Tamandua tetradactyla: one gene and its partners. The protein of the gene in region 2 purifies or fractionates together with the protein of the main gene of each other region. This does not show direct contact. Links are inferred from orthologs where the notes say so. Each region holds a gene or a part of one and is shown on either strand. Other genes may lie near its edges. The genes, in order: TLE2, CCT8 and PDCL3.

Region 1 (8,034 bases), on a different chromosome or scaffold from region 2:
CCGAGCCCCAGGTCCCATCTGGGCAGGCCCTTCTCTGGGTCTCCTCTGCAACCTGGGGCCAATCTACCCATCTGGGGGTGGAGTGGAGGGCAGTGGTTTGAGGCAGCCATGCCTGGGTCCCACCTCAAGGCAAGAAACAAACAGGAGGTCTTTTCATCTCAGACAGAGTCTGAGCTGGGGGTCCCTCAAGGAGGCTGGAGAGAAGCTGCCTGGGTGGGGAAGGAAGGAGGAGCACGTGGCATTGCCATGTGTATGCTCCCCCCCCCCCCCGACATGTGTTTTGCATCTGCTGGCCATGTGCCATGTGGGGTCTGTGTCTGAGTTTGACCTCTCAGGCTGCTTTGGACAAATCTGGTGTGTGTGTGCGTGTGTGTGTGTGCACTTGGCTGGAGGGTGGTATATCTTCCATGTATAAGTCCGCCGTGTGTTTCTGGCACATGTGTCTGGATTATGTGTCCATGTGTGTACCTGTATGTGTGGTCAGGCCCCATATCAGCCATGGGGGTGTCTGGCCAGACCTCAAAGCCCCAGGAACTGTGCTGGCCGGAGGCCGGAGGGAGGAACACAATCGGTCAGCCCCCACCTCTGCTATCCTATGCCCCTGCGCCCCTGCAGGGGGGCAGTACCAGGATGGGGAGGATGGCAGCTGGACGGAGAGAAGCCTGGTCCCTGCCCCATGCCCTCCACCCCATAAAAGGGGTCTAGTCCATGCACCCACATGACCACACCGTGCTCCAGGCAGACAAGCCCCCTTCCACCTGGATCAAACCAGTAGACCCAAGAAAACATACCAGGGCAGGCATTCCCTGATCCCGGACATCTACCTCTTGTTATCCTTCACCTGGAAGTCCCAAACTTTGGCTCTGACCATTGATTCTAATATGCCAATGGACAGAATCTAAGGACCCATCAACATCAGAACCTTGGGTCCAATAGGATCACCTTAGAAACCATCAAAGAACCTTGAGCTCAGTCCCTGAGTCTATCTCAGGACATAAGGGTCAATCTCAGAACCTCAAGACTGCACTCAGGAGCTTGGCAGGAGTCTCAGAACCGTGTCCCTCACACCCTACCACTGAAGTCAACCTCAGAGCCTTGAGGACAGTCACCGAACCTTCAGATCTATCTCAGAACATTGAGACCACACTCAGACACTCTGTGACCGCTCTCAGGACACGGGGGTCAAACTCAGAACCTCGAGGACACTCATAAAACCTTCATGTCTGGCTGAGAACCTTTAGATGACACCCAGAAGCTCGGGAAGAGTCTCAGAACCTCATTCCATTGGGGTTCGTCTCAAAACCCTGAGAATAGTCACAGAAAAGTCCTGGAGTCGTAGTCAGTCTAAATAATGGCATCAAGTTCAGAGCCTTGGGTTAGTCTCAGAACCTTCTGGCCAATTCCACTGGCATCAATCTCAGAACATTCAAAACAGTGAACCCTGAATGTGGGCCATCTCAGACCCGCAGGATACCCAACTTCAGAATCTCAGGTCTCCAAACCTATCTTCCCTGGTCGTCCGCCAGGACAGAAGTCACCTCTAGTACGTCCCTCACCTAGCAGTTCAGCAGTCTCTGCTGGGGCTGCCTGGGTCCCTCCTGCAGTTTCCACACCCCCACCCTCCCGGCGAAACCCTACCTGTTTATGCATCTCAATGTTGAGCCCATACGACATCTCGTAGTACTGCAAAGAAAAAACCAAATTGGGAAAGACCAGGATGTCAATATATATCCTGGGCTGGGGTCTTCCAGGGGCCCCCAGACTGGGGGAGTCAGAGAGGGACACTGAACCTCTCAGCCCCAAGGGGTGGCAGGAAGGGAGCCAGAGGAGGAAGTAAGGGCTCCCATTGGAGAGACAGTGCCCTCCACTCTCCCCGAGCAGGGGGGGCAGGTAGGATGCGCCCAGACACCATGTCCCCTCAGAGATGGACATGCAGAGAAATGGGGGGCATCCTTCTCTCCTTGTTCCGGGGAGCTAGGAAGACTTTCCGAGCCCAATTTACAGTTTGGGGAAATGAGGCCAGAGAGGAGCAGCCTGGGCCCGAGGTAGGGGTGTGTAGGGGGGTCAAGATATAAACCGGAAGATTTTCACCCACAGCCAGTCCCCGTCCCCCCCCCCCACCCAACCCTGGCACCATACACCCCCCTCACCATGACATAATGTCTCTGCATTTCCGTCTTCTCGCTGGCCAGCTTCTCACACTCTAGCTTGAGACTGGGGAGGAAAAAGGGGCATGGGGGTCCCGCTTGCTCTTGCCCCACCCCACCCCCAGCAGGAGCCCCCCCCAGACCCCATCTGGCCTCTTTTCCAAATTGCTGGCTTTTGTCCGCTCCCTCCCCAGCAGTGACTGTCCCCCCTCCCTGACACCTCCGTCACCTGCGTTTCCACCTGGACTCCTTCCCGTCGCCCCCCAGGGGGCCCCGCCCCCGCCGCGCCCCGCCCCGCCCCTCCGCGCGCCCCGGGGTTCCCAGGTGCGCGCTCGCGACCCTTGGGGCGCCCCCCCCCACACCTGTGGTACTGAGCCTGAAGGAACTGGAATTCCTCTTTGATCCGGTCGCAAATCTCCAAGATCGAAAACTTGAAGGGCTGGCTCGACTGCAGCGGGGTCTGGGGTGCGGGAGGTGGGGGTGCGGGGGGTGGTGGTGGAGAACGTCCAGGTCTGAGTGTCCGGACGCCCCTGGGGGCCCCTCATCCCCGCCGCCCGGGGTCCCCACTCACCGGGTGCCTGCCTTGGGGGTACATCCTGCCGATCCGAGAGGGCCCCCCACGCTGCCGGAGCTTGACAATATCGGGGAGGTAGGGGGGAGCCCCGAGGCGTAGGGGTGGGGGTATGGGGGGGGAGGTGGAGAAGCCGGAAGGGAAATTGCCCGAAGAAAGAAGAAGAAGAAGAAGGGGGGGGACCCCGGAGTCCTCGGCGCCCCCCGAGCGCGCGAGGGGGACGCGGGGAAGGAGCGCGGGGGGCGCCGGAGCCTCCTCCCCCGACCCGGGCGCGCGCTGGGGTGGCCGGGGAAGCGGTGGCGGCGGCCCGGGGCGGGGACTGGGGCGCGGGCGGCCGCGGCAGCCGGCGCAGAAGGTCGGGCCGCGGCCGGGTTTCGGTGGCGGCGGCGGTGGTGGCGGCGGCTGTGCGGGCGACGGGCCCCGCGCGGAGCCGCCTCCCTCCGGCCCGGCTCGGCCGGGAGCCGCGGGCAGAGCCGCCTTAAGGTGGCGCCGCCGCCCCCACCCCCACCCCCACCCCGCCCCCCTGGCCCGCCCCCCCCACAGCCCCAAGCCCTCCGCGCCAGGGCCCTGGGGCCCCTGCTCCCCACCCCAACCCCGCCCCAGGCTGTGGCGCTCCGGGAATCGCACACCCCACACACACACACTCCCTTTGACGGGCAGGTAAACTGAGGCTCGCGTCCAGTCCTGCATACCCTCCCCGGGGTGGGGGGGGTAGGCCCAAGAGAGAAATGGGAAGACAGGGGTGGGGGGTGACGGGGGAGGGAAGCAAGGCAACAAATACACATGCAATTAATTGCTCAGTGTGGTAAGTAGTTTAGGGGTGGGTGGCAGTTTGGGGCCAGAAAATTTCGGTAGGACTGAAGAATGAGGAAGAAGTGTTGGGGTGGGGGTGGGGGGGTGAGACCACCGGGCAAACAACTGTAGAGGCAAACAATCCACCCCCCCTACCCCCACCCCCACCCCGCCCCAGATGAGACGGAACTCCACCACGTACTGGCTTGGGCCAAGTCCTTGCTCACTCTTGGCGACACAGGATCTTCATCTGTAAAAGGGGTGGGGTGGGGTAGGGGGGTGGGGAGCTATTTATGAAGCAGGTGATACAGGAACAGTCCGGAGTTTGGCCTGAAGCGGAGTAAACTGCCAGAGATGGAAGGTAGGGTTCCGACTGCCTCTGCCAGCAGACTGGGCTGTCTTCCCTTTCAGGCTATGGAAAACGGCATTTCTGCCAGCAGACTGAGGTCTTCGGTAAAGGCAGGGGCTCCTTCTCCCACCTCCCATCACAAACATTCAGGAGAGCTTCCCTCATACACACTGGGAGATGGAAGGTTCTTGCTTTCAACTTTGCAGATGAGAGACCTCGGGGGGGGGGGGGGGGGGGTCATTTGTTAAGTCAATCAACAAACACTGCTGTAGGCTCTTGGGGACAGCAGAGGACCAAACTTGACAAACCCTTGTCCTGTGTCAGTGGCCCATCCACTGTGGAGAAATGAGTAAGTGAACTGGCACAAAAGCCCCTCAAGGGCAGACGGAGCAAGACCCGAGTTATGTCCTGGTGGACTTTTTTGCATATGCAGAGGAATAATTTAGGGAGCAGTGATAGAGACTCACAAAAGGGGCTATTTATCTAGGAGAGGCCTCTCTGAGGAGGTTAACCTTTGAGCTGAAACTTGAAGGGTGAAGATGGGCTGCCATGGAAGTTATGAGGATGTGTGTGTGTTACAGGGAATAGTCAATGGCTCCCTATTGCCATTAAAATAAAATCCAAAAACAAACGAACAAAAAACAATAAATAAATAAAATCCAAGTCCCTCCTACCTACCAGACCCTGCTCAAGTCCCCTCCACACCCCTCAACTACCCACCCTCCCCTCCTCCTGCCCTACCATTTGCTCCCTCTGCTTCAGCCATGAGGGCATCCTGTTTTCCAACACGCCCAGTCCAGAGTAGCCTCAGGGCCTTTGCACAGGCTGTGTTCTCTGCCTAATACCCTTTTCTCTTCCTTCTCATCACTCAGTTCTCAGCTCAAATATCCCCCCTTCAGGAAGCCCCCTCCTGACCCCCATCCCCATTTAAGCAGTGTCACATGTCCTCTTCTGTAATTCCCAAAGATGAGTCTTGCCCTACTCCCTCCCCTTCTAGCTCCTATCAGAGGTGTCTTCGTTTGTTTCACATAATCATGTTTAGCCATAGGTTGCTTTATTTGTTTTTGGCTCCCTCCCTAAGCTCCTGTTCTTGGTCCCTGTGGGGCCTGGTATACAGTAAGTGCTCAATAAATGGACAGGTAGTCCGGGGAGGTGACTGACCAGAAGAAACAGCTGACGGGGCTAAAGCCAGAAATTAGTGGGAATTCTAAGAAATACCAGGTTCCCCAATTCCACAGGGCCAGCAGTTCCTGACTCCAGATTCTCAGGGTCTACAAAGTCCTGACTCTAAACTCTTTCCAGAAGGTGTCTTGCCTCTCCCAGATTTCCCCTCCTTAGACCACAACTTCAAATAGTCACACACACACACACACACACACACACACACACACACACCTGCCCCCAGGCCCCCCCATCTGCTCCTCATGCACTCCCACCTTCTCCTGAGCCTTCTCTTGCCCAAATCCTCTGAGCTTCTCAAACTCGAAGCTCCTAAACTTGGCCCTTGTCTCCCAGCCCTTCTCAGAGCAGCCTCTCCTCTTCTGATTCTCTCTTGACTTGGCGGCTGCCTTCCCCTCCTAAGATGGGTCTCCTGGCCAGGCTCGGTGCCACCACGTCCAGCTTCTCGAGGATGCTCCAAACTCTGGGCCCATTCCGGGACCCTCCCCTGAGACCCAGCCCTGCACGTCCAGCTTCCAACTGGGCATATCTCCTGGACATTGACTGGGCTTTCAGACCCAGCATCTTCCCCCAGACCGGGTCCTCACCCTGTCAAGTCCCACAGTTCACCCTGATCCCCCAAATCAGTCACCTAAACATCTGCCTAGCTCACCCTCTCTCCTTGTCTGCTGTGCAACCCAGCCTCCCATCCCCGAGCTTCCCCTACCCCCCCCCCCCACCCTTTCCAGGGACCAGGCCTTCTTCCTCTCCGGACTGGACCATTAGCTACCTTCTCCCTCTGAGCAGCCTCCCCTCCTGTGGCTTTCCCTAAATCTGTCCCTCCCACTTAAAACCCTCCCATGGCTCCCTATTGCCCTTAGGACAAATTCCCAACTCCTCAAGCTAGTATGGGATACCCTGCACCACCCACCCTGCCCAGTTTCACCTATATGTGCTTGATCACACACCCCTCCCCTGCTCCAGGGGCACTGACCAAAAGACCTGATCTGCCTATTTTCCTACTTTCTCACCTTTTGAGCTTTTGCTTTTGTGCTTATCTCTGCTGGGAATCCCCTGTACCTCCTCTGCTGCCTGGAGGAAGTCCATTTTCTCTTGAGACCCAGCCCCAAAAGGTATCTCCTATCCTGCCCCCAGGACATTGAACACAAAAAGTCTGATGTAGGTAGATAAATGGGTATTTATTCGGTAGCCACTTCCCTAAGCTGGAAGCTACTGGGAGTCCCAAAAAAGATCCAGACCTTGCCCTTGGGGGGCTCCCATGGTGGGTGGGGAGAGGAGACAGAGCTGAACACTTCTACTCTTGGGACTTAGGGATCCACAGAGCAGGGAGCAGGGGGAGCTCTGTTCGACAAGTCAGAGAAGGCTTCCTGGAGGAGGGGACCTGCCCACTCCCACTCACCAGTCTCGCATTTCTGCAGCCAGGCACACGCCATAGGCAGAGTAAATACAGATTTGCGGATTGTGGGAGAACCCCCAACACACACACAAACACAAATACACACACACACACTATCTTAGTGTGTACATCCGCTAGAAGGACAGACGTTTTGCTCTGAGCAGCAGTGTCCCCAGTTTGAGGGGCCGGGGGGCGGGGGGGGGACAGTGGGCGGATGGTGAGGCTCAGAGGAAAGCAGTCTGTGAGCGGCTGGGGGGCGGTTGGGCAGCTAATCCTCGCTAACTCGCTGAAATGCCACATCCGGCCCGAGCAGGAGGCAGGGAAAGGGCTCAGCAGGCGTGAGTTAAAGCCTGGGCAACGCCGAGCTCTTTCCACTGAGAAGACTTCCCCCAGCTAACTTGTTCGCTATCCAGGGCTTCCCACTCCATCTGTCTGGGTCTCAATTTCCCCCTCTGCAGAATGGAGGAAGAGGCTTCTCTTCCCAGCTCTCCTCTCCCGCTGCAAAGCAAGGGTTCGCCCCGGCTCCTGCCTGGGTTTTTACAGTGTGGATTTTTTTTTTCCTTCTTTTGAAAGAAAAAGCTGAGAAGCAGCGCCAGGAACCGGGATTGCTCAGACCACCTTAAATCAAGTTCGCCGCCCCAGCTACTGTGGAAATTCCTTTCTCCGCGGTGGTTGGCTGGGCGCGCCAGCCAATCCGCCCGCGGCGCTCCCACATGGGTCCGTGACGTCACAATAGAAGCTGGCCAATGGGAGACCAAGGAACCGGCAGCCAATGGCAGGAGGCACTAGGGTAGGCTGGACCAATCGGAAGGCGGCTGGGCTCTCAGCGGGCTAAGGCGAGGGAGGCTCCCCCTCCCTTGGAGAAGCTGAGACCCTAGTGGACGCCCCAGTCCTGCCGGGTGGAGTCGGGGTTCGGCTCGATTGGTATCCAAAACCCAGGGGGAGCGGGCCACCCGCTAGGCCTGACGGGTCCCCCCTTAAAAACTGTAGTCCCTCGTCCACCGTGCACTTCGCAGAAGCCCGGCCAGTTCCTGGCAGAGGATGCGCCTTGCACCCTATTTTACAGAAAGGGAAACTGAGGTAGAAAGAAGTCGAGTCTTGCTTGACGCCCTGGGAAGAGCTGAGACTCGCACCGGACGGAGCCTTGAGGCTTCAAGTTTTTGTCCCCAGAGGGTCAGATGGGGGAGGCATCACAGGGCTGGTCTGTAACCAGGGGCTGGAGGTGGGAAGCGGGGAGCTCATCTCCGTGCCTCAGTTTCCCCGGAGGGTAGACTGGAGAGGAGCCGGGAGCGGGGATTCTCGGAAAGACTACGATTCCCAGAAGCTCCCGCGCCGCGCCGCCCGGACTGTCAATCAAAGTAACGTGGGTCCCTCTCCCGCCCGCGCTTCCCCCCACCCCCAACACACACACATCGCCCGCCGCCTCCCTCCTGCCAGTTCCCGCTCCCTCCCCGCCGGCTCCGAGCCCGGCGCGGTATAATTACAGCCCATTGATCCGACCCGGGCCGGGAAATCAGCTCCCTCGGGGAGGCCAAGCCTTTGGCTTCCGACACCGCCAACCTCTGCCTGCCTCTCCCCCCCACCTCCCAGCCGAGCTGCT
Region 2 (7,415 bases):
GAGGGAAATGTGACTCCACCCATTCCAGGTGCGTCTTGATTAGTTCACTGGAATCCTTTAAAAGAGGGAACATTTTGGAGAAAGCTTCACAGCCACAAGAACCACAAGAGCCCATGCAGCCAGAGACCTTTGGAGATGAAGAAGAAAAATGCCCCCAGGTGTGGCTCATGAAACAAGAAACCTGGAAAGAAAGGTGGCAAAAATCGCCATTTCATGGCCTTGAAACTGTAAACTTGCAACTTAATAAATTCCCCCTTTTAAAAGCCATTCTGTTTCTGGTATATCACATTCCAGCAGCTAGCAAACTAGAGCATCTACCTTAGGAACTCATTTCTCCATCATAATCCAGAGCATCTGGAGGCACCACTGTATGGGTGGACTGAGATCAAGAACACACAACTGTAGCTGTGAACCAGGGAGCAAGAAACCAGGTTCAAGAAACAGTTCTTGCTAAAGAGTGTTGGTGGGGTTATGCAGAGAAGGTAGGGTTTAACAAATGAATATGAGTGCTGAATATTGATATTTCTTTTAGTTGCCAGTATCTTAAAGCAGCTAGAAGTGAAAACTTAAAATTGTGCAATTGTAACCCATACCAAACTCCTAAATCTGTTCTACAACTAATTGCTGCATTGTGCTTTGAAATTTATTGCTTTTTGTATATATGTTATTTTTCACAAAAAAAGTCATGAGGAAGAACAAAGGAATGTCAGTATTGCAGGGTGTTGAAAATAGATAGTCATACATAATTCAAAACTTCACCTTCTGTGTGAGACTAAAGGGAGAAATGTTTATTTGGTGCAAAATTTATATTTTGACTAGTGCATTTCCTAGTTTAACTTGTATGGTCAGTTTGATTGAACACCATAAGTACATGGAATCCTGAATAGGGCATGAGATTTTGCTGGTTTGTCTAGGTCAATGTGATGCCCCCATAAATCCCAGAGTGATTTTAAGAGTAAATGAAGTATTTGCAAAGTCCCTTGAAGGAATAGGGAGAAAGAAAGAAATATTCAACTTCCCCATTTGGAGAATTTCTAATACTATTGCAAGCAGTGGGGACAACAAATCAATAGGCCAAGGCCTCAGTCTTGGGGTTTGCCCTTATGAAACTCATCCCTGCAAAGATAGCTAAACCTACTTAAAATTAGGCCTAAGAGTCATCCCCAGAGAACCTCTTTTGTTGCTCAGATGTGGCCTCTCCCTCTAAACTGATATGGCAAGCGAACTCACTGCCCTCCCTGCCCCCCTCTACGTAGGACATGACTCCAAGAGGTGTAAACCTCCCTGGCAACATGAGACAGGAATCCTGGTATGAGCTGGGACTCAGCATCAGGGATTGAGAAAAACTTTTTGACCAAAAGAGAGAAGAGAGCAACGAGACAAAATAAAGTTTCAGTGCCTGAGAGATTTCAGAGTCAAGAGGTTATCCTGGAGGTTATTTTTATGCATTAAATAGATATCCTCTTTTTAGTTTATGGTGTATTAGAGTGCCTAGAGAGAAGTACCTGAAACTGTAGAGCTGTGTTCCAGTAGCCATGTTTCTTGAAGATGATTGTATAATGATATAGCTTTTGCAATGTGACTGTGTGATTGTGAACACCTTGTGTCTGATGCTTCTTTTATCTAGGGTGTGGACAGATGAGTAAAAAATATGGATAAAAAAAGCAAATAATTGGGGGGAAAGGTTAAAATAAATTGAGTAAATTGAAATACTAGTGGTCAATGACAGGGAGGAGTAAGGGGTATGGCATATATGAGTTTCTTATTTCTTTTGCTGGAGAGATGCAAATGTTCAAAAAAATGATCATGTTGATGAATACACCACCATGTGATGATACTGTGAGCCATTGATTGTACACCATGTATAGAATGCTTGCATGTCAAGAATGTATGTTTCTTTGTAGTGCACAATAAAAATATATATTTTTAAAAATCTAATATATATTGGGTATAGGGAAATACTAGCAGTCATTGAGAGGGAGGGGCAAGGGGTATTGTATGTATGAGTTTTTTTTCTTTTTTCTATTTATTTCTTTTTCTGAATTAATGCAAATGTTCTAAGAAATGATTTTGGTGATGAATGTACAACTATGTGATGACATTGCAAGTTACTGATTATATACCAAGAATGGAATGCTCATATGTTAAGAATGTTCTTGTTTGTATGTTGTTATGCTTAAAAAATTTTTTAATAATAATTTAAAAAATCTATTGTGATGATAAAAGAAATATTTATTCCTTCTAGACTCCATGTTCTGGAGCAGTTAGAAGAAAAAATCTGAGATGATGGTATTGTACCCCATGACAAACTCTGGAACATGTCCTGTAACTACTTGTTGAAGACTGCTTTGAAAACTTGCTTTTTTTCTTTCTTTGCTTTGCATATACATTGCATTATACAATTAAAAGGTTAAAAATAAATAAGATACAATTGCTCAGTATTCCTGAAAACCCTAAAGAGTGCCCTTGGTGCTATCTAGTTTGTATAAAAGTTTCTCTTGTTAAGTTTCTTTTTTGGGGGGAAACTTAAGGCCTCCAGATTAATCCTAGGTCAGATGGGTCCTGAAGCTTAGAGGTACCATTCTCTGCAAGAACATCAACCAGTTTCATACCCCTACCCCATAAGGTCAAAACCCATTTCCAGCATGAAGCTAAAATGGTCATTGCCCAGATATCCCTGAAGATTAAGAGAAAGATCAAATGAGAGGCAAGAGGTATAGTTTTGAAATTAGGATTTAACAAATGACTGTGATCACTGACTCATCATATAGATATTTCTTTTTAGTGCCCAGTGTGTTAGAATAGCCAGAGGAAATACCTGAAGTTGCTGAACTGTAATCTAGTAGCCCTGATCTTTAATAATGGTTATATAATTATATTGAAGGGGAAAAAAAGCCAGTTGACCATATTTGTATGGATCTACTTCTGAATATTTTGTTTTTACAATACCACACTGTCTTAGCTAACCTTACTCTGTTTAAGTCTTACAAGTGGGTAGACTGCAATACTGGTGGTCAATAAGAGAGAAGGGTACAGGGTACAGGATGTTTGGGATTTCCTTTTTCTAGAGTAATGTAAATGTTCTAAAAATGATCATGGTGAAGAATGCATAACTGTGTGATGATACTATGAGTCACTGATTGTATACTTTGATGTATTGCATGGCATGTGAATATATCTCAATACTATTACATTAAAAAAAAAACTTAAAAAAAAGAAATGGTTGCCATCTTCACAGCTGCCCTTCCACATGTGCAAAGCTGGTGAGCAACTCCTAGCATAACGCAAAAAAAAAAAAAAAAAAAAAAAAAAAAGTGCATTGTCTCATGACTTTGCTTGCCAGCAGAAATGACAAAGTAACATGAAAATGGACTTTGTCTCCCTGCCATCTTCCAACCTTTATCTGAGTATACCTAATTGGTGGACACTTATTTGTATCCAAAACCATAGCTAAAAGGGACTCTGGAAAATATATTTCAGCTCCTTCGCCTCTTAAGTGCAGGACTGCATACGGTGTGAGAGTCTACCACATTCATCAGGAGAACAATTACTCTGAATTTTACCAAAAGAAGTAATAAACATGGTTTTCATTTACCAACAATCCATTCATAAGGGTTGAAGGAAAACTCCTCTCTCAAGCCAACGGAAGATAAGACTTCATCAATCTCAAGATATGTAAGGAAGGTATCATCAATATAAAATGTCTCACCCGAATTGACTTTTCTCATCTCCATAATCTAATCAGTAGTCATGACTAGTCACAGGTAGGCATCGGAACAACTAATCCAAAATTTAAAATAAGGAACTTTCATTCAGCTCAAAAAGTCCTAACTCCCATTCAATGCACAGTTATTCTCCTTCACTGGTTGATAGTGACTGACATATCCACTCAGTACGTAGCTATTCTTATTGATATTAATTATCAGCTTCACATCCTTAGCACTTCCCACAGTCCACATGACAGAGGAGACGTTCGACTCCCGTTCTGGAAGGAAAATGGCAAGTACTATGTCTCGGGAAGAAAACGTACACCCGCCCTAATGTTGGTGACTGGATCTGGCAGATTACGTAGAAATTAAATTTAGGAGGTGCGGTTCCCAGATCACAAAAGACAAAAATCAAACATCTCCATGGAATCTCGACAGTGACATCACCAAGGAGCGAATCTCCGCCAAGCAAACCGGCTTGGACGCTTGCGCATGCGTCGACTGAAAGGCGTAAAGCGCGCCGAGCGTTGGGCCGGATCGATCGATCTAAACGAGAATCGTCTGCTTAGCTCTGGCTATGGATGCTGCTTTTGTTATCGCGAGACCTCAGAACAAGCGACGAAGGTAGATGTTAGGGGGAAGGGGCGGACTCTGCTGGAGTGGGAGGAGGAGCGTGAGGTCGTAGTACGCAGCTTTCCCAGAAGGCTGCGCGAGAGTCTTGCTTTCTCCGGGATCTGCCGAGCGAGCGCGTGTGCTGGTTCTTTGCAGGCTGGCCATGGCGCTTCACGTTCCCAAGGCCCCGGGCTTTGCCCAGATGCTCAAGGAAGGAGCGAAAGTAAGGGATGGAAGAGGGGAATGAGGTGGGAGAATCGGTGAAGTGTTGCGGCGGCCGCATCGAAGGAGAAAGGCTCACTAACGGCCTGGCATGCTCCACCGGCGCTGCGGGCGGGGAGAAGATTCCAGAAGGGGAGGTGGGCTCTGGAGGGCTCGGCCGCCGAGGCCTGCAGATATTTCCGTTATTCCCTGACGCCGGGAAGGGTAGAGATGGCAGAGGGAGCTGATGAAGGGCAAAGCTGCGGGATTCGCGCTTTACACTTCCTAGCCGAGCGAGTGTAAAGCCATTCATGCACTTTCCAGCCGCAAAAATGCGGCTGATTAGGCTCACCACCCTTTTTAAAGGTCACGTGAGGGTGAAGTCGAATAATAGAAGTGTAATTGCTTTGAAAGCCGATTCATTACGATTCTTGCAATAGTGTCACAGATTATAGGATGGGAAAGGACAAGGACGAAGCGATCCACAAGAGAGCAGAGATACAAGAACGAATTCTTGGTTGTCTCTTTCCAATTTAAAAACGGAAGACTCTCTGAAGCAGTGCATTTTTGTAGGACAGGTACTTTTTGCAGTCCAGATTGGTTCTGGTTCCGGTTTCCTTTCGCAGGCTTGCCGTAAAACTTGGTCTTGCTTTCCTTTTCACTAAATGGAAGAGATTGGATCAGAAGACGGTACATTTGAGTTCTGCCTTGTAACCCACAGAATAAGTGATACCAAGACTCAAATAAAATTATATTGTTTTATGACCAGGTCTTGATTGTAGCATCAGGAGCAGAACTTTAGAATATATATCATTGCATTACTGTCAGATTTGTGTCTCTTGAGTTGCACATAGTGGTGTTCTATCTCCATATTCCTGGGTTGAATTAAATAGATCAGTATAGTTGAAATTTTAAGGGAGGAGAAGTGTACTAACAGTATTAGGGAGCCAGGATCTTATTTGCAGGGTGCACTTTAGGAATAATTTGAATATGCTAAATAAATATGAGGCTTTAACGTAGAATTGTGGTAAGCTATCTTTACTAAAAGTTATACTGCTCTACTAAAAAAGAAAATGAGTCATGCTGAACATCCTCATACCTTCCTATTAATTTTTTCCCATTAATATCGGTTTGGAAAAATTATATATCTCAATGCATTATTTAAGAGTCATTCATATGCTAGACGTTTCCACAGAGCATTTTATGTGAGGTATTCATTCAGGCACTGAAGGGACTGTGATAAAAGACAGAAGTTCCAGGTCTTAGAGTTTATATTCTTCTGAGGCAGAAATAATGATTAAATAATTTAAAATAATGATGTGAAGGAAATAAACAGTACTGTAGTAGATAATGATAGTAACACAAATTGCCTCAAAAAAGAAAGGATTAAGGGTATGTACAATTAAATCAGGGAAGAACTCTTAGCTCAGTGCTGAGTGACAATCTGGAGGCCCAATCCAACTCTAAAAAAGTCCAAAGTAAAATAGGATTTTTGTGTTGTGAGCGATTTGGCAATTTTTTTAATGTGTGCCTATTGGAATTGTGTGGCAGTTCAACCACATTCAAAGTCTATGTATGTTAGTTCCTAAGTGTTTGGAAGCAGATACTTTAGTTTCATTTCGTTTGTAAGTGGAGATTCCTAAAGAACACAGATGTGCTATTTGCAAAGCCCAGGCTTTAATACGATATTATAGAAAAATATACCACATTTCAAGTTTTACTTAGAAAATATTAATAAATTCTGAAAAGGTGTTCTACCTGAAATACCTCATATGCCTTCTGTGATCAGTCTTACCTATGTTACCTTTTCACAACTTACGGAGGTTAAAGACCCTATGATATCTACAAAATCTGTGAATCATTTATGAATACCAAACACTGTGCTTCACATGCCTGAGTTTTGTTTGATTGTCTTAACAGTCCTGTGAGGTGAGTACTATTATTTCCCTCCTTTTGCAGATGAAGGAGTGTCAGGAAAATTGCCCAGTTACTAGCCAGAAAGCTAGAATTTGCAGTTAGCCAGTCAGACACCAGACCCCGTATGCCAAATTCCTAAGTCATACTGGTTCTGTACTATAAGATAAAAGCAAAGATATCTTGTATTTAAAAATTCTTGTGTTTCATTGTCCTTTCTTATTAAAAATGCTCTTGTATAGCATTTTTCAGGATTGGAAGAAGCGGTGTACAGAAACATACAGGCTTGCAAGGAACTTGCCCAGACCACTCGTACGGCATATGGACCAAATGGTAATCTCTAAATTCATGTTTAAAAGCTACGGTCCTAGAATTTTGTCTGCCTGCTCTTCTTTTAAACTTATTCTCTGGGTATTATGTTTAAATTGAGCTATTTTAACAATATGGTTTTTAAAGTTACTTCAGAATTCAGTGGTACCAATACAGTGTTTACAGTTTTCAGTCACCATCTCAGATCTCTTTAGAAAAATAGAAATCAAAATGTTACTTTTTTTATCCTGTTGAGAGGATAGAAAATTTATGGTACTTTCACCATTGAAATAGTACCTAATGTTCATTGTGACAAACTCTGAGTAGTCTTATTTAAAGTGACATAGTTTAAGGGATAAAGTCCTCTTTCTTCCTCTTACCACTAAGTGAATTTGATACAGGTTAATCATCATAAAACCGAACATATTTTTTTGGTCTCTGTATACATTAATACAGTTTATTTATTGAACACTTGTTGCATGTCAGGCATTTCCCAAGTGGAAAATAAGTATAATAGGGCAGAGCTTCTGTTCTCCAGGACCTTGTAATGTTGAGAAAAGGTAGTTGTTTTTTAAAAGAGAGAGAAATAAGCAAAACTGTGACAAGAATTGTCATTCCCCCAGTAGGTATTATAGGGGATCAGAAAGGAAGGACAATTACAGGCCACATGGT
Region 3 (8,085 bases), on a different chromosome or scaffold from region 2:
GCAGTAAAACAATGGAGTTGCCAAAATGGAGGACACATCCATCCACTGTTCAAACCCTCCAACGACTTCTTGCCTCATTAGGGGTAAAAGCCCTACATGTCCTAAATCATCTGGCCTCTAGCTTCCTCTCTGAACTCTTTTCTACAACTCTCTCCCAGTCCCACTGGGTTCTCCTGACAGATTCTCCAATATGCCAGGCCCACTTTTCACTTACTGAAGTAGCTTGTCCCACCTCTCTCAAGTCTTTTCAAAGGCCTCCTTCAGCTCCTTACTCAAACGTCATCTCCACCAACTTTCTCTTTTAGCTCTTTACTTAAATGTCAGCTTCCCAGGCAGGCCCACTCTGGCCTGTCTAGAACTGTTCCCACCTTTTCTCCAATCCTTTCTAGCCCCTTCCTTGCCCCATTTCCCTATTTTACTTACTTATATTGTTTATTGTCTATTTCCCCTACTAGAATATAAATTTCCAGGCAGGGATTTTGTCTGGCTTGTACACAGCTAAATCCCTATTGCCTAAAACAGCAGCTGACACACAGTAATCTTTCAATAAACACTTACTAGAAAAGTGCATTACAAGAAATTCTTCAATAAATTAGCTCTAACATGTAAATAGGGGGCAAAAGTACCAGCTGTTGTGATCAGTGGTTCTCAAACTTTGCCACGCAACAGAAATCATTTGAGGCTCTTGTTTAAATACACATTCCCGTGCCTCACCCCCAGAGAGTCTAACTTACAGGGAATTGGCAATATTTTTAAAAAGCACCCAAAGGGAGTCCAATGCAGGTGTTATGGCCATCTTTGAGTAAACCTCTTTTAGACCCCATATATTGCAAACATCTTATGCCTCTCCAAATTAATCTATTTTAATTTAATATCCTCCATCAAACCACAAAGATAGTAAAGTATAACCTCAGAGGAAAACAAAAGCAAAAAAACTTCTTTTGAAAAAATTTCTGTGACATTACCAAAGTGAATCATAGGCTAGAAAGTTAGATTCAGAAATACTTTCTTTGGGACTATCATGTGCTCATCTGACCCAAACAAGCAGCAATGGAAGTGAAAGAAGCCTTGGAAGCCCCCCTAATTCTACAACCCGGGATGGTGAAGGTTAGAGACCTCCTGTGACTTGCCTGACGTCACACAGTGTCTGTGCCAGCACTCTCTTTCTCAATGAAACTTTCTATCACAGCAGTTACATTTTGAAAGTTTTTTTCCTAAGCTAGATCGACAGGGAACAAATAAAGAAAACACGTGAGCTCACCAACTGACTGCTGAAGGACTCGTCCTTCCTCCTCTGCCTCCTTTTCCGATTCTTTCACACTTTCCTTTGAGGGCAAGATGCCCTTTTTGCGTAAGATGTCATTCCACTCGGTGTCCGCACTGGGGTCCTAGAACAGGAGGGTCAAGCACACCGTGAGTGCAGAGTCCAGTGGGGAGGGCCCAGGACGCCGTGAAGATGAAGTAGAGCATGGAGGGCAGTCTACTGGGCATGGGGTCAAACTGGAAAGGCAGTAGGAAGAGAGGAACTCAAACCAAATAATCCTGAGGTCTACTGCTGAGAAAGGGTCAAATGACTCACAGCCCCTGCTCTGTTCTTTCCCTCTGCTCCTCTCCTGCACTCTCTCTCCCCCTCCACCCACAGCACAGCTAGTCTTGGGGTAAAAATCAGGATGTGATGTGCGGACTGGCATTGATGCTGATGTCAAGTCTCGAACCTTGCTTCTGCCAAGCATTTCTATTAAAGACCTAGAGTGCTCATTCAACAGAGAAGGCAGGTCAATTTACCCAGATCAAATCTCAGAAGGATAAACATCGCGGTGGGCTCTTCAATGGAGAGCCCAGCAACCCAGGCGATGGTTTGGCATGGCTTTGTAGAAACATGGCTAAAAGAGCTCAGACTTGGTACGGGATAGAAAACCAACAAGGAACCCTGGAGAATGGGCACTGGGGTAACCAGTGCCGTCCTCAGCTGCGTTACTGGCTTCCTGAGAGACAGCGAAAGAAGAACGAAAGGAGAATCCGTTCAACAGAGTGGTCAGGGAAGGCCTCTGAAGAGGTGACATTTTTGAACAAGGACCTAAAGGTCAGAGAACGGAAAGGAGCCACCTTCGCAAAGGAGGCCAGGGCAGCCCTCGAGCTTCTTCTTCAACATGTAATAGTGTGTGTGCGCGTGGCAGACACGGCCTATCTGTGCCTGAGTTGGAACCTCGCCAGCCCCCACGCCCACCGCCCCCCACCCCAAGCCAACCCCCACTACCGGCATTTCCCAACCCCAGGGCTATTTAACCAGAATTCTTGACAAAGTGAGATCTGGGAGGCAGCGAAATGACCTTCGGGGCAGCGTCCTCAACAGCCACGAGGCCATACTGGGCGAGCGGAGACCAAAATTCAGTCGCCACAGACGTCTGCTCCTGCAGGCGTCATCCCCACGGAGTTTATACGCATTTTCTTTCCTCTTCCCTTCGGTATGAGCCACATTCCTGATGTGGTAAAAGGGGCAAAACTAGGGGATGTGGGTCTTATCCGCTTCCGGGCGGAAGACGGCACTGGGCAGGGCCCCCCGGGTTGGACGGGGGGACCCAAAAGCAGACCAGCGCTCAACAGGGGCACGAACTCGCGCCCCGCGACTCCGGCGGCGCCTCCGCGTCTCCCCGTCTCCAATTCCAGTCAGCCTCAGCCGCGCCCTGGGTCCGCGGCACCCGCCCGCGCAGGGGCAGCCCCCGAGGGGCGAGCCTTGGACCGCGAGCGCCGCGCGCGGGGGCAGCCGAGGGCGGAGGGACCACGCCCGCCCGCTCGCAACACGCCTGCGCGCGGCCCCTCAGCGGCCCGTGGCCCCCTGCGCTTTCCGTAGGCCGGGCCAGGACCGTCCGCCGCCGTGGGGATTCAGCCAACCAACAGGCGACCACAGCCTCCAGGCCCCGCGCCCGCCACCTCACCCACCTGCATCTTGCCGCAAGTCCCTCAGGTTAGGCCGGCCGTGGAGCCCTCTCCCCTCGGTTCTCGTCCGCGCACGCGCGCCCCGCCCCTTCCCCCGGCCCGGCATTCGCCCGCCCCCCGGGGGCGAGCTGGGCGGGGCCAGGGTGATGCCGAGGTTTCTGCGTCTGCGCCGACAGCTTAGGTATGCCGGCGCAGAAGCGGTGCGCATGCGCGGTATGGGCCGGGTCTGGTGTCTGTCGGGTCGGCAGTTCACAAGGTCGGAACCCAATCCTGGAAACTTCCTTCTCGGGGCGTGTCTCACGTGAGACGTGGTAGAGTGAAAGGAGGAGGTGTTCGGAGGCGTCCGAATCTGTAAGGGGGTCTCTGCTCCACAGTGGGAAGCCTGCTTTAAGATATCAAAGTGGGAATGCGTGTCAGTGGTCAGATGTTACAATTAATAATGATACGGGAATCCACTCTCTATCATTGCCTCGTGGGATAAGGCAATTCATTCATTAGACAAATGTTTATTGAGCACCTACTATGTCTCAGGCACTAGTTTAAGCTCTTGAAGATACAGGAGTGAGCAAATTGTAAAAAACAGTAAGGTGGCGCAACAACAGAAAGACAACCCAATTTAAAAGTGTGCAAAAGACTTTGCATAAACATTTCTCTGAAGGTGAAACATGAAAAGATGCTCAATTCCATTAGCTGCTAGGGACATGCAAATCAAAACCGCAATGAGATACCATTTCACATTGTTTAGAGTGGCTACTATTAAAAAAATAAAAAGTATTGGAGAGGACATGGAGAAACGGGAATACTTGTTCAGTGTTGGTGGGACTGTAAAGTCGTCCATGTGCTGTGGAGAACAGTTTGGTGACTCCTCACAGTGTTAAATATAGAAACCATATGACCTGGCAATACTCCTTTTAGATATATACCCAAAAGGATTGAAAGCAGGGGCATGAGTAGATATTTGCACCCTGATGTTCATAGCAGCATTATTCACAATTGCCAAAAGATAGAACCAACCCATGTGTCTGTCAGTAGGTGGATGGGTGAACAAAGCATGGTTTATATGCACAATGGAATATTACTCAGCTGTAAAAGGAAATGAAGTCCTCATACATAAGAAAACAGGAATGAGCCTTCAAGGCATGTTGAGTGAAATAAGCCAGACACAGCAGGATAAATACTGTATGAGTTCACAGATATGAAGTCATCAGAATAAGCAAATTCATAGAGTCAGAAATTAGAGTACAGGTTAGCAGGAATCAAGTTGGAATAGGGAAGAGAGTCAATGCTTAATTTGTACAGAAATTATGCTTAGGGTGATGGAAGGGTTTGGTGTCGATGGTAACACAGCACTGGGCATGTGATTATAGCACTGAATTGTATATTTGAATGTGGTTAAAAGGGGAAATTTTAGGTTGCATGTATGTTATTAGAATAAATAAAATGCCTGTACAACCCAAACAGTGAGCCTTAATGTAAACTTATAGTACACGTATATTAATATTCTTTTAATTGTAGCAAAGGTACCACACTGATGCAAAGTCTTAAGGAGGGTAATGTGGGGGTCTGTATTTTCTATATGATTTTTCTGTAAACCTACAACCCCTCTAATAATAAAAAAATTGTTTACAAAAACGAAAACAGGTGAAATTCCTCTCACCTGATTAACCTCAGGGGACACTTATATATATGCACAAGTACTTAGCCCTCAGCCAGCACCCAGGAGGCACGGAGTACAAATCTGCAGTCTGACTTGCAAAATTCAAGTTCTATGCTCCAGGGCCTCCACAGCCCCATCATTCTTGAGGCTGAATTAATAGAGGAATATTCAGCCCTAGTAAGGACATCTGAGCTAACTTGCCATCTCCTGGCAATGAAGCAGGCACAGGTAATAGAGAACCACGCACCTGTGGGGGAGGCTCAGGGCTGCAAACCTTGGCTGCCTGGAAGCCTTACACTTCAGATGTTCCAGGTCTCCATCCCCAGACGAATTTAATCCCTGGAGATGCCCCCAGACTTGATATTTTCTTACAGGTCCTTGGGTGATGTTAATGAGTACAACCGTTGATGTAGAATGAATAATGATTTATAAGGAGCCTAAAAATTTATCTAACTCCTTCCCACAAAGTTGCAGGTCTTTAAGTGTGTTTATTAATTTACTTGGCAGCATTCGTGATTGAATTTTCATGCAGAAATCAGGACTGGACTTGTCTGGGGTGGGTTTGGCCCCATGCCTTGCTCTGTCTCGGACCTTCACAGCCAGGTGCTGCCATGTTGTTCCCTCATCCCAGCCTTGGCCATTTCCCAAGACATGCCCTGTCTGCAGTTGTCTCTTCACCACAAGACCCATTCCTGCCACCCATTATAAGCCAGATGCTATACTCTGTTTCTCTCTCCTGTTAGCAGGAAAGGTGGCACCCCTCTTCTGTCCAAGTCTTGTTCCGTCCCCCTGGCTCCAGATCCCAGTCCCTCTTACTGCCCCTCTCTTCCCCAAAGACCTTTCCAACCTTCCATCACTCTTGGTTCTGCAGAAGATAGTTAGGGCTCAGGAGGAACAATCAGAGGCATCAGGATTGGAAAAGAAAAGGCAGAACTATTTCTATTTCTATCTGATGTGTTAGCATATCTGGAAAACTCAGGAAAATCAAAGCTTTAACTCATACCAGCAATATGAGAACTCAGTCTAGGAGAAGGATATAAAATTAGCATACAGAAAATAGCCTTCATTGACGTATACTTACAGTAACAAGCTAGAAGATATATTGGACTCCAATTAAATAACAACAGAAAAGAAAAAGTACTTAGGAGTAAACTTAAGTGCTCAGAAAACCTGCATGAGAACAATTATAGGACATACCTGAAGATACAAATTGGACTTGGGTATATTGAAAAGCATCTCTTATTTTTGGATAGGATGACTCAACAGCCTAGAGAAGTCAAGTTTCCCCAATTTCATATGTAAAATTTAACATGATCTAAATGTTAAAACCCAGCTGTGGTAGTTAGATTCAGTTGTCAACTTGACCAGGTGAAGGCACCTAGTTCTGTTGCTGTGGACATGAGCCAATGGTACTTGAACCTCATCTGTTGCTGATTACACCTGCAGTCGGCTAGGAGGCATGCCTGCTGCAATGAATGATGTTTGACTTAATTGGCTGGTGCTTAAATGAGAGAGCTCAACACAGCACAGCCCAAGCAGCTCAGCATACCTCATCTCAGCACTCACAGCTCAGCCGAGGTCTTTGGAGATGCAGAAAGAAATCACCCTGGGGATAGTTGTTGGAACCCAGAGACCTGGAGAGAAGGCCAGCAGAGACCATCCTGTGCCTTCACATGTAAGAAAGAACCTCAGTTGAAAGTTAGCTGCCTTTCCTCTGAAGAACTAACAAAATAAATCCCCTTTTATTAAAAGCCAATCCATTTCTGGTATGTTGCATTCTGGCAGCTAGCAAACTAGAACACCAGCAAATTATTTTCTGAGGCTAAACCTCTTGTCTGTTTTCTAATTCTTATGCCTCTAATTAACCTTGATTCCAGAGTTTTTATGGGAAAATAAACAAGAGGAGCAAAGGTGAAGGTGGAGAGCTAGCCCTACCAGATATTAAACAATGTGGTATTAACGTACGAATAGATTAAGCAGCATAACGTGTTCTAGATAAGTCCAGATATAGAGCCAAATACATATAAACATTAGTGCATGCTCCGTGCTCTCTGTGCTCTGGGGCAGGGGGCAATGTTTGTAGTAAAAGGTGTGGGGAAGACTGGAGACCCATCTGAGAAGAGATAAAATTGGATACATACTTCACAGGGTATATAATAAAAATGGAAAGTATAAAAATACTAGTAGAAAACAAGAGAAAATTTCTTTATAAACTAAAAATGAAGAAAGCCTTCGGTGACTATTACTCAAAATCCAGGATAAATAAATTGAAAGTATGATGAATTTGACAACCTAATTTTTTTTACATAGAAATAATAGGCACAACAGGATACCTTTGGGTAAAGGAAAGATTTTAAAATACAACTTTCTCCTTGTGTAAAGTCATTTTTGCTTAATTCTGCCAATAGAATCATAGAGGGAAGAAACTGGAAATTAATGGACGCTATGGACTCTTGGGGGGAGAGGGCAGAGGTGGCAGGAAAAGGACAGGAGTGAAAACCCTCCCACAAGCCTCTGCTTAGGGGTAGACACAGGGGTGTTGGACTGAGGCACGTGCAGGCTTGGAGGCCTCTTTAAGAAAAAATACAAATGCACGAGTATAAAATTAGGCCTGTTCTAGTTTGCTAGCTGCCGGAATGCAACACACCAGAGACGGATTGGCTTTTAATAAAAGGGATTTATTTCATTAGTTCTTCGGAGGAAAGGCAGCTACCTTTCATCTGAGGCTCTTTCTTACATGGGAAGGCTCAGGGCAATCTCTGCTGACCTTCTCTCCAGGCCTCTGGGTTCCAACAACTTTCCCCTGGGTGATTCCCTTCTGCATCTCCAAAGGCTGGGCTGAGCTGCGAGTACTGAGATGAAGTATGATGAGCTGCTTGGGCTGTGCTACGTTGAGTCTCTCATTTAAGCACCAGCCAATTAAGTCAATCATCTTTCATTGCAGCAGGCACGCCTCCTAGCCGACTGCAGATGTAATCAGCAACAGATGAGGCTCACATACCATTGGCTCATGTCCACAGCAACAGAACTAGGTGCCTTCACCTGGCCAAGTTGACAACTGAATCTAACTACCACAAGGCATAAAAATGAATTCTTAGAATTAAAAAGAAATAATTACAAATCACCCATTTTAAAAACCTGACAAATACCACAAACATGGCAAAATCCAGAAAAACAGCATAGTTTTCATTAATTAATCTTCTGACTGGCTATCTGATACCATAGATGACCTCTGGCTCCACATGTCAAAGCCCGTCTCTTCTAGAACTATGCAGATGTGTCGAGTCAGGGAGGGAGCTCCGTGGATTTCATTCACATCACCGTATGTTCTCCGGCCTGCAACTTCCTGTCATGCTGGGTGAGCGGTCGCAGGAGTTATTCCTGGAAGTCATTCCCACCCTTGGACCATCAGCACCAACTATACATAGAAGTAACCGCACATTACATAAATGTCTCTCTCTAAATATACTCCCAATTCAACTTCCCTTTAG

What was found.
Region 1: the proteins of CCT8 (region 2) and TLE2 purify together in Homo sapiens (affinity purification with mass spectrometry; 3 studies listed by BioGRID and IntAct, with this or other methods). This does not show direct contact. The link is inferred for Tamandua tetradactyla from reciprocal best matches to the Homo sapiens genes CCT8 and TLE2.
Region 3: the proteins of CCT8 (region 2) and PDCL3 purify together in Homo sapiens (affinity purification with mass spectrometry; 3 studies listed by BioGRID and IntAct, with this or other methods). This does not show direct contact. The link is inferred for Tamandua tetradactyla from reciprocal best matches to the Homo sapiens genes CCT8 and PDCL3.

What each region holds. Positions count from the first base shown.
Region 1 is NC_135337.1:79,384,174-79,392,207, reverse strand, and holds the start of TLE2 (transducin-like enhancer protein 2), read right to left. Parts: upstream 3,014-8,034; 5' UTR 2,743-3,013; coding exon 2,719-2,742; intron 2,608-2,718; coding exon 2,510-2,607; intron 2,215-2,509; coding exon 2,151-2,214; intron 1,684-2,150; coding exon 1,639-1,683; intron 1-1,638.
Region 2 is NC_135336.1:88,345,282-88,352,696, reverse strand, and holds the start of CCT8 (T-complex protein 1 subunit theta), read left to right. Parts: upstream 1-4,381; 5' UTR 4,382-4,482; coding exon 4,483-4,542; intron 4,543-6,676; coding exon 6,677-6,767; intron 6,768-7,415. UniProt on the Homo sapiens protein: Component of the chaperonin-containing T-complex (TRiC), a molecular chaperone complex that assists the folding of actin, tubulin and other proteins upon ATP hydrolysis.
Region 3 is NC_135343.1:6,153,302-6,161,386, reverse strand, and holds the start of PDCL3 (phosducin-like protein 3), read right to left. Parts: upstream 3,073-8,085; 5' UTR 2,947-3,072; coding exon 2,941-2,946; intron 1,389-2,940; coding exon 1,262-1,388; intron 1-1,261. UniProt on the Homo sapiens protein: Acts as a chaperone for the angiogenic VEGF receptor KDR/VEGFR2, increasing its abundance by inhibiting its ubiquitination and degradation.